Danio rerio: one gene and its partner. The protein of the gene in region 1 purifies or fractionates together with the protein of each later gene. This does not show direct contact. Links are inferred from orthologs where the notes say so. Each region holds a gene or a part of one and is shown in the gene's direction. Other genes may lie near its edges.

Region 1 (4,367 bases):
CTGGATAAGTTGGCGGTTCATTCTGCTGTGGCGACCCCGTATTAATAAAGGGACTAATAAACTGACAAGAAAATGAATGAATGAATGAAGACTTATAAAAATCACAAAGATTTGAACAGATATGTTAATCCCGGTTTCTTTATGATTTTTTTTTTTTTTTGTGGACATGTGTATACATGTAATTATGGTGCCTGTCAATTAATTCAGTGGGTGGGGAAAACCACACTCCTACATCACGTTGAAATGGGCCTTGAAATCACTGAGATTTGGGTCCTAAAAAGAGACTTGTCGGGTTTCGATCACTCCAATATGACAGTGGATACACTGTATATGTGTATACAGTGGATATGTGGATATGACTGGTATACACTGTATACCTACACACAGTTCTGTCCAAACAGCTTACAAAAGTTTATCATTGGCGCCCTTTAAATTTGTTTGATGGAACCTGCAGAGACCCTGCTTTAAATGTAAATGTAAATACTAAATAATTTTCTAAATACTCTTGTGTTTTAAAAACTCTTATATTTTTAAACTCTTATAAAACAACAAAAGACATTTTGAACAATCTGTTGTTGTACATGCAGTCATTGGGGTCTTTATCTTTCTGTGAACCTTTGAGTTTTGTGTTCTTACATGTGCCAGTTTCCTTCTGTGAATCCATTCCAATTTCAGAAAATGTTCTGCTTACTGTATATGAACCCTAAACTTTCTAATCCAATTTGCATGAATATTTATTTTCCAAACACAATTTATGAGCATACAATGCAAACATTCTAGTTGCAATTGCAATATTCTCAAACCAAAAAGCCCTTGAGATTATTTTATTCCATGTGAATATATGCTTTTCTTATAAACTTAATGACATCTTTAAAAAAAAAAAAAAAACTTAACTACCATACGTGTCGTCTGAATTTTGCCTGTTTTCTCTTTGCTCATATTATTTTAAATCTGTGTCGCGTTGTCCAATCCAGTTAAAATGCAATTAATGAGTGAAAGTGATTCATAAGACTTTCCAGTTTTAATGAGCTGTCAATCCATTTATAAACAGATTGTTTGAGTGCATGTTAATGTAGCTACTGTAGAGTCTATGGAATTATTTGTAGCCTAATTGACAATTGTTATGAGATGTGATAATTAAATGGGCTGATTTGTCTTAAAGGAGAGGAGAACCTCCTGTCCAGCCAAGCAACATCATGGACGCCTGTGCACGGATCAGAGGTATCCCAATAAAGAGCCGTGCCACCATGAAGAAAGAGGTATGCTGTTGATTGAAGTTTTTTTTCTCCTAAAACATATCTGTGGTGTTATTTTTTGTGGGAATCTCCTGCAGTTTCTAACATACTTTATATTTCTTTGATCAGACCATCCGTGAGGGCTCAAACCCGTGCCTGAAGAGTTTGTTGAAACACAAAAAGGAGCTGTGCAATGTGGTAGTGGAGCTGCATAATAAAGAACCGCAGTGTCTGTCAGAAGTAAGGATCACACACACCGTCATGCATTTCAGACTTCCATATGGGTGTTTTTTAATGTGCATGAAGTTGCAAAGGAACTCTTTTATTGTGCCCTTATTATGCGCCTTTTGAACATTTATCCATACTGCAATCTGTAATGTTGCTGTTTGAGGAGGTCGTCAAAGTTTTAAACATCAAAGAAGGACTGAACAATTAATCAAAATCGACATTCAGTACCTATGATCGATCAAGTTTTTCCAGGTCAAATTTTTCAATTACTTTCCCTACCACGTGTGGAGTCACATGACCCTGCTCAGTTAAGGCTTTATACTTTAAACTTCTATGTTGAACGCACGGGTATGGTCCGGTGCAGCCTTCGTGCGGTCGTATTTAAGTGCACCTCTCAAAAAATTTAAGTATACATTACACGTTTGCACTACAGTGACGATGATTGGAAGCTGTGCCAAAGATGGCATATTTTTCTTTACAATAAAACTCTTATTTACATTAAAAATTTCTTTACAGAAGATTCAAGAAATGCACTGTTTAAAATATTATTTACAGGATATACAAGAGTTATTTTATTTAGAAGAGATGCTGCTTTGTTTCTACTTTAAAAATGGAAAACATTAAAAATAATTAGTTTTGTATCCAAAAGTGCGAGTTATTTATTTTCATTTTTTTATTATAAGAAAAAAATGACTGTTGGTTTTAGGCAATGTGTGTTTTAATTTCAATTGTTCAACATTGATGTTTAATAAATAATCATAGATAGATTTCAGAAGTCAGATTATTTCTTTCGGTTATTTTAAAATCAAGTAATGCACCCTCCATTCCAAAATATCTCACTTGTAATTAGTGAGTATATTTAATGTACAAACAAATTTAATAAAATAGTCGTTCATTAATTGTGCTCAAGTTAAAATGTTCAATTAATTGAGATTTTAATTTTAGGCCAAATCACCCAGCCCTACATCAAAGTTTGTGTCAAATAAGGTCATTGTATCTTAAAAGAAAGAATCAATTCTGAACTGCTGAAATGTTTGTGCCAGATCCTTAAGTAGGGATGGGACTTCATAATCTGACCGTATTCTGAGTCACTTTTTGATTCCAAAACAATTCTCTACTGTATCTATATTTTTTTCCTGAATTCTTTGTGCATGGGATATTGAATCCAGAATTGGTTAAAATTGAACAAAATGTTACATTTTGTTTATGATTTGAATCTATTCACAACAGTGCTGCCATCTTTAAAGTGATTTGTTTTTATAGCACACTTATATTTAGGATGAACAAGCTATTAATGCAACACTGAATGTAACATCGCAATGCTATTTGAATACAGAGTTGATTTTGAACTTTTGAAAATCGCAAGCCATTGGTTAGGAAACTTTATATACAATGATGAAAATTAGCATATCAACACTGTATGGTTTTCCCTAAATGGTGACAAATGGCCTCAAACACTGTAACTGTCTTTTGTTGACAACGTCATGCTGAGGTGAAAAAGTGTTAGAGAAGTCAACTCTGCTTTGATTCTGAATTTTCAAAATGCCTTGTTATTCTCTCTTAAATCAATTTAGTTTTTATACAGCAGATGGAGCTGAATGCTTTTTAAGCTGCTGAACACTTCTTGCATCCAATTTCTTATAAATACCACATGAACCTAAAACAGTCAAAAATGTTAGAAAAGGTTTAGGCCAATCACAAAGGAGAAAGGCCAATCACAAAGGCCAATCACAAAGGAGAAAACACATTATTAGGGAAAAACTTTGGTTATAGTGTCAACATGGCCACACTGTACCCGGAGTTTTCAGAAGTTGTCAGTTTCAGTCTCCTTACACTAAGTTGTGTGATTCAAGTCTGGACAAACAGCCAAAATGCATAGAAAAAAAATAAACTAGTAATAAAACTAGCCATCTGTTGTGAAAAAACAAAAGATTAGTGATACATTTTGAAATTCACAAAATCAATTTTGTAAGCAATTTTTTTAACACGGCTCTAATTTTGTGAACATAGACAGAACATTTCTTCTTGGCAAAACCCTTATTAGTTTTTTTTTTTTTTTTAATCAGCAGATGAGGATCGAGGCTAGTTTTTAACTACAGCTAGTGCTCTAGCCTAGTTTTAACCGCAGATAGTGCTGTAAGCTAGTTTTTAAGTACAGATAGTGCTCTAGGCTAGTTTTTAACTGCAGATAGTGCTGTAAGCTAGTTTTTAACAGCAGCTAGTGCTCTAGGCTAGTTTTTTTAACAGCAGATAATGCTTTAGGCTAGTTTTTAACTACAGATAGTGCTCTAGGCTAGTTTTTTTAACAGCAGATAATGCTTTAGGCTAGTTTTTAACTACAGATAGTGCTCTAGGCTAGTTTTTAACATCATATAGTGTTCCAGGCTAGTTTTAACCACAGTTAGTGCTCTAGGCTAGTTTTAACTACAGTTAGTGCTCTAGGCTAATTTTTAAGATCAGATAGTGCTCTAGGCTAGTTTTTTCACAGAAGATTATGCACTAGGCTATTTTATTATTATTATTTTGAAACAGAAGATTATGCACTAGGCTATTTTATTATTATTATTATTATTATTATTATTATTATTTTAAAACAGATGGTGCTCTAGTCTATTTTTTAACAAAATATTGTGCTTCAGGCTAGTTTTTAACTGCAGATGGTGCTCCAGGCTAGTTTTTAATCGTACATTTAAATGTTCATGAGGAAGAGCCCTTGAGAGTCAGGCAATTAGTAATGTAAACACAGCTCACTATACAGTGAACACTTGTAATTATCACTAAAAAAACTTGTAAATTATTTATATATATATATATATATATATATATATATATATATATATATATATATATATATATATATATATATATATATATATATATATATATATATATATATATATATTA
Region 2 (5,061 bases), on another chromosome or scaffold:
GCACGCGCTTATTACGGTAATCTTCCTTCTGCATTCACACAGCGCAGCATTCCGGGAAATTGCCGGTAATGTTACAACTTCTCTTTCCGGAAAATAGCCAGAACGAATTTACCGGTATTTTCAAAAAGGACCTGTTCACACATACAACCTTTCCGGAAAATTGCCGGCAATTTTCCGGAAAGGTCTGTATGTGTGAAAGGGGCTAAAGAGACACGTGACGTAAGAGTGCGGTTTCCCCGCCCACCGAATTGACTGACAGCTGCATAAACATGTCTCCATAGTAACGCATATAATAATATCAACAATACAGGACTTGCGCATAGCAACTGAGATTAAAAGATCTGTTCAGCTCTCTGTGATCATCAATCATCACCAAATGTTATTAAGAGTGAGTTTTACAAGTTAAAAAACTTTTTTAAAACAGTGCATGTTTGTAAGAAATTACAGCAATTTTACCATCTTTACTTGTAACCACAGCCGCATGTCAGTACAATTATAAAAGAAGCTTCAATCTCGGTTTGTGGACGTTAAATCAGGTTTATTTTGTACATTAACATTACAGATATCGATATAGCAGTGGATAATAACATGTATCCTCTCACATTCGCATTGCAAAATCAGTGCAAAATTCAACACGAGTGCTGTGTGTGTGTGTGTGTGTGTGTGTGTGTGTGTGTGTGTGTGTGTGTGTGTGTGTGTGTGTGTGTGTGTGTGTGTGTGTGTGTGCGTGTGTACACTTTGTAATAAAACTCTGTGTGACTCATCGAAAGGCTTAAATAAACTCCACAACAAATACATAAAAAATAAGCATCAGTAAAGTTCTTACTGTAGTATTTCTCACAAACATTACGTGAGATCTGCTTCCTTCTTGTCTGTCACTGTGCTGTTTATCTGACTCAGCTGAGATTGTGGCACACTCTGACAAGTTTGGGAATGGTGGGCGGGGAGAACTAGCATTAAAGGCACAGGCAACAAAAACAGCTACAGTTTGTCCAGAGCAGAAAATATCCAGAAAGGTATAATAAATAATCTGATGGTTGTTTTGAGCTGAAACTTTACAGACACATTCTGGAGAAACAAAAGACTCATCTTAAATCTTGAAAAAGTGGTAAAATAGGTGCCCTTTAAAGTTGCACAGTTCCAAAAAAGAAATACATTTATTAACCATTTACTCAATCTCAAGAGGGTAAAGCGTTTATGAGCATCTTACATCTGCTGAACACACACAGACTATTATAGAAGTTATATATGCAAAACACAATTACTATATCACTAATACTTATAGATTCAATGGGTATCGCCAACTGTTTTATAATATTGTACATTTGTATGATTGTAAATCTGTTTTGTAAACTTAACCTAGACACTAAAACAGGACCTGGTTTCACCCTGACACATTTTGCATGGCCTGATTCATAGCATAAGTTCAGGAAATGAAAATATTTTGCAGGATGTCAATTCAGCTGAAGGAAAAGAAAACTTAAATCTAGATTATTAAGGGTGTACTGTAATAACAGTCAATCAGACATTAATTTTAAGGGGGGGTCATATCTTCGCAGTGTTGTGACCCTGCTTGAATTGGCACAATTTAGGCTTGGGTTTATGTACAGAGCCATTAACCTTTTCAGCTGTCACCAGATTCATTCTCAGTGCTAAACACGTGGGTAAGGAATACTGTCCTTCTGTATTTGAATGTCACTCCCGGAGGAGCGTAAAATGTGATTTATACCCTCACGTCATGTGCGGCCGAATGTTCTGAGTTTTCTGGTTGATAACCTCGATCTCCTCTCTAAATACAAAAACAAGCCCTTGCCCTTTAAGGTTGTCAGGGGAAACCGGCTTCCCAGATCGAGGCGCATTGACGTCAATCGTTGTTTGTGATTGGTCATAACCTTTTCCGGTGAGGCGTCCATCCATCCAAGGACTGTGAGAAAATCAGTGTAAACGGAGTAAAGCACGTCGACAAACTCCTCGAAGCGACTCAGGTATGAATATTTAAATACAGCGGCTTTTACTGTAACGTTTGATGATGTCGATACGCGAGCTGACAAGCTCGTAGAGACGTTAATTTAATGCCATCGGCTTCCGTTGTTGTGATAATGTAGTTTGCAAGATGGCGTATTTTGCTGCTTGACAAAACTGGTTACAAAAAACACAGAGCTGGAAGAAGCTGCAGGATTACGCCGATCAACACTTTAACATTGACTCAATGAAGTCTAGTTATATTGGAATATGTTTTCTGGACCAAAATGGTTGTTTTCGCATGACCGAATGGCGTAATGTTGAGAAATGCCTGTGGGGATGCGAACTGCGAATTTTATGAGCTCAGGGGCCCCGACAGGAACCAGGAGCCATAGCATGGCTGTCAAAAATCAACAGTTAGATGAAAGTTCAGTATATATCGCTTTTGTGTGGTGTCATTGTAAGTTAAAGTAGAGATTTTAGACTAGATATGCGATGTAAGATTTATGTTAGTTTGTTTCAGTTTGACAACACGTTTGGAAGCTTGTAACATTTAGTATTAACAGCAACATCACTATCTGCTAGCATGGATTTATGATAGATTTGGTTATGACCTGGATGTTTCACGTGGGGTTTAATCCAGAGGACTTCCACTGTCATGAAAGACATTTTGAAATATAAATAAAAAGACCAGAAAGATGCATATCTATACAGAAAACTTTGAATGTTTTACACATTTAGTTTTTCTTCTTTTTTCACACATTTTTTTAATCTTCTTAATTTACACATTTAACTTCTCTGTGCAGGTAGAAATTCATTAGATGTTAAAAAGTTACAATTTCTCATAAATATTTGCAATCCATATCCTTCTCGTTTATTTGATCTTGTAAGCACTTTACAGCTACACATGTACTAAAGTGCTGTACAGTCAGTAGACATGGGCCGGTGTAAGATTCTGACACTATTATACCCTTAGATGAAAACATCACAGTTTCAAAAACAAAAACTTTTTTTTTCCCCTCTTTGAACACATTTTATTTTGAGAAACATTTTAAGTATTTTGGAGCAGTGAACATGTCAGGATAAATATTATAAATAAATCGTAGACTTCTGCTGTTTTATTAGTTTCAAAAACACAAACTTCTGGACCATTTGAAACACCACTTTTGGGTATCTTTTCTGTTGGAGATACTGCTGTCCTAAAAAACAAACAAAAAAAATTATTAAAGAAATCTTGCATATACCGCAGGAATGGTATAGCAAAAACATTTGACAGGTAAAAAAAAATGACTTTTCCAACTACGGTATACCTTGAAAACAGTTATTGTCCCATGCCTACAACAAACAAATGTATAAAACTAAACTCAATAAGGACTGATTAAAAAAATGGATGCAAACTTTCAATGTAAGTAACTGCTCTGATATACCACAATGGCAGATCTCTAGAAAAAATTTAAATGAGAACTTCACACTGAAAATTAAAATTTAATTATCCTAACAGAAATATTTGAGTTCAACCACTGACTATTAAAAGGAAAGTTAGTATAATTAGCAAATTGCTTTCAGCAAGTCATGAGACAAGTTTTTCTGCAGTAATGTTTTATTTACATGAGAAAATAAAGAGAAAATTAATAATCTGGAGAAGCAAAAGCATCAAACTGAAAAGAGCTCGTGCCATAGATATTATTGTGACGTTGTTTGAGTAACGTTTTGTTAAAATACCAAGTGTATTAATTTGATTTATTTTCATGAGAGTTAAATATGAAGTGCAACAGAATAAATACCTCTCATTCAAGTTTTATTACAGATATGAATCTGAAATTCAACTTCATTATTTGAAATGATGAAAGTTTAAGGCCAAAACTAGTAATACCACCCATATTTTTAAAAACACAGTAGGCACATTCTGGAAAAGGTGGATCTTAATCACTAAAAATGATAATAAATGTTTGATAAAATTGCAGAAAGGTTTGTGTAAGGGTAGGAGAATAGAAAATAGGATTCCCCTATGGATATGTTAATATGACTGTTATATCAAAGTAAAGACATGATAATGACAAAAGATGTATGTATAGTAAGTGTTTTAAAAGATGCCACAAAAATCCAAATTTATTCCCGTATGCTTGATATACGACACAATATTTATATATGGACAGTGGACAGGAAATGAAGTGGGAGAAAGGGGGTGCAGGATTACGAAAGTTCCCTGAGCCATGACTTGGGTTGGAGCGCTGCCAATGAAGCTGCTGACTCCAGATGCCTGATTTTATTAGTGTCTTGAACTGTTTTCTCTGAAAGTCTCAGCAGTACAAAAACAATTGTTATATTGAGTAATTCTGTATTTAAATTCTTTATGCAATGAAAACTCATCATGTTTACTTTAATAAAGCACATTATTATTCGTGTGGTGGATAGTTTATATGTGCCAGTCCAGAGAAAAATTATATTTATTTTTAAAATCTACAGTTAAAATCTGAAAATAATGTTTCACTCAAGAACAATGTTCTGTGTGAAGTTAGTTTGATGGCTTGGCGAGAACACCCTTTAACCACTTCCTTCCAGCTGCACATAAATGGAGCCCAAAACCTTTAATGAGTAATTAGTTACTCAGAAACCGTTAATGTAAAATTAAATGATATATTAGAATTTACAGTGAAATAAAAACTTATTGCATCAAAGGCATTTATTTTCTTTCCTCCATTCAAAGAACATGTGTGACTGTGAACTGGAAATACACTAAAGATGACTTAGTAAAAGTCTCCAAAAATGAAAATTCCCAAAAAAATTACTTGCCAATGTTGTTTCAAACTCATAACTTTACCATACCTAGGACATGTTTGATGAGATGTTTGTTCATAGGTTTGTTTGTCCTTCTATTGACAGGCCATGCAACAACCACTTTCAAGTGCCAAATTTTTAGTATAAAAGTAAAACTTTAGTAAGGTTTACATGAGCTATATTCATATTCTAATGAGGTGATGCAATGCTTTTTGTGTACAAAATAAAATAACTTCTTTCAGTTTCGTCATGTCTACATTCTGACACATGTTGAGCTCCATGAGGAATTTGTTGTGTTGACCTGAGCACAGATATTCTAAC

Evidence for each region. The genes of interacting proteins can lie anywhere in the genome.
Region 2: the proteins of akap11 (region 1) and prkar1aa purify together in Homo sapiens (affinity purification with mass spectrometry; 3 studies listed by BioGRID and IntAct, counting the BioPlex papers as one, with this or other methods). This does not show direct contact. The link is inferred for Danio rerio from reciprocal best matches to the Homo sapiens genes AKAP11 and PRKAR1A.

What each region holds. Positions count from the first base shown.
Region 1 is NC_133184.1:19,606,442-19,610,808, forward strand, and holds part of akap11 (A-kinase anchor protein 11), read left to right. Parts: intron 1-1,158; 5' UTR 1,159-1,196; coding exon 1,197-1,259; intron 1,260-1,364; coding exon 1,365-1,475; intron 1,476-4,367. UniProt on the Homo sapiens protein: Binds to type II regulatory subunits of protein kinase A and anchors/targets them.
Region 2 is NC_133178.1:35,128,018-35,133,078, reverse strand, and holds the start of prkar1aa (cAMP-dependent protein kinase type I-alpha regulatory subunit), read left to right. Parts: upstream 1-1,887; 5' UTR 1,888-1,985; intron 1,986-5,061. UniProt on the Homo sapiens protein: Regulatory subunit of the cAMP-dependent protein kinases involved in cAMP signaling in cells.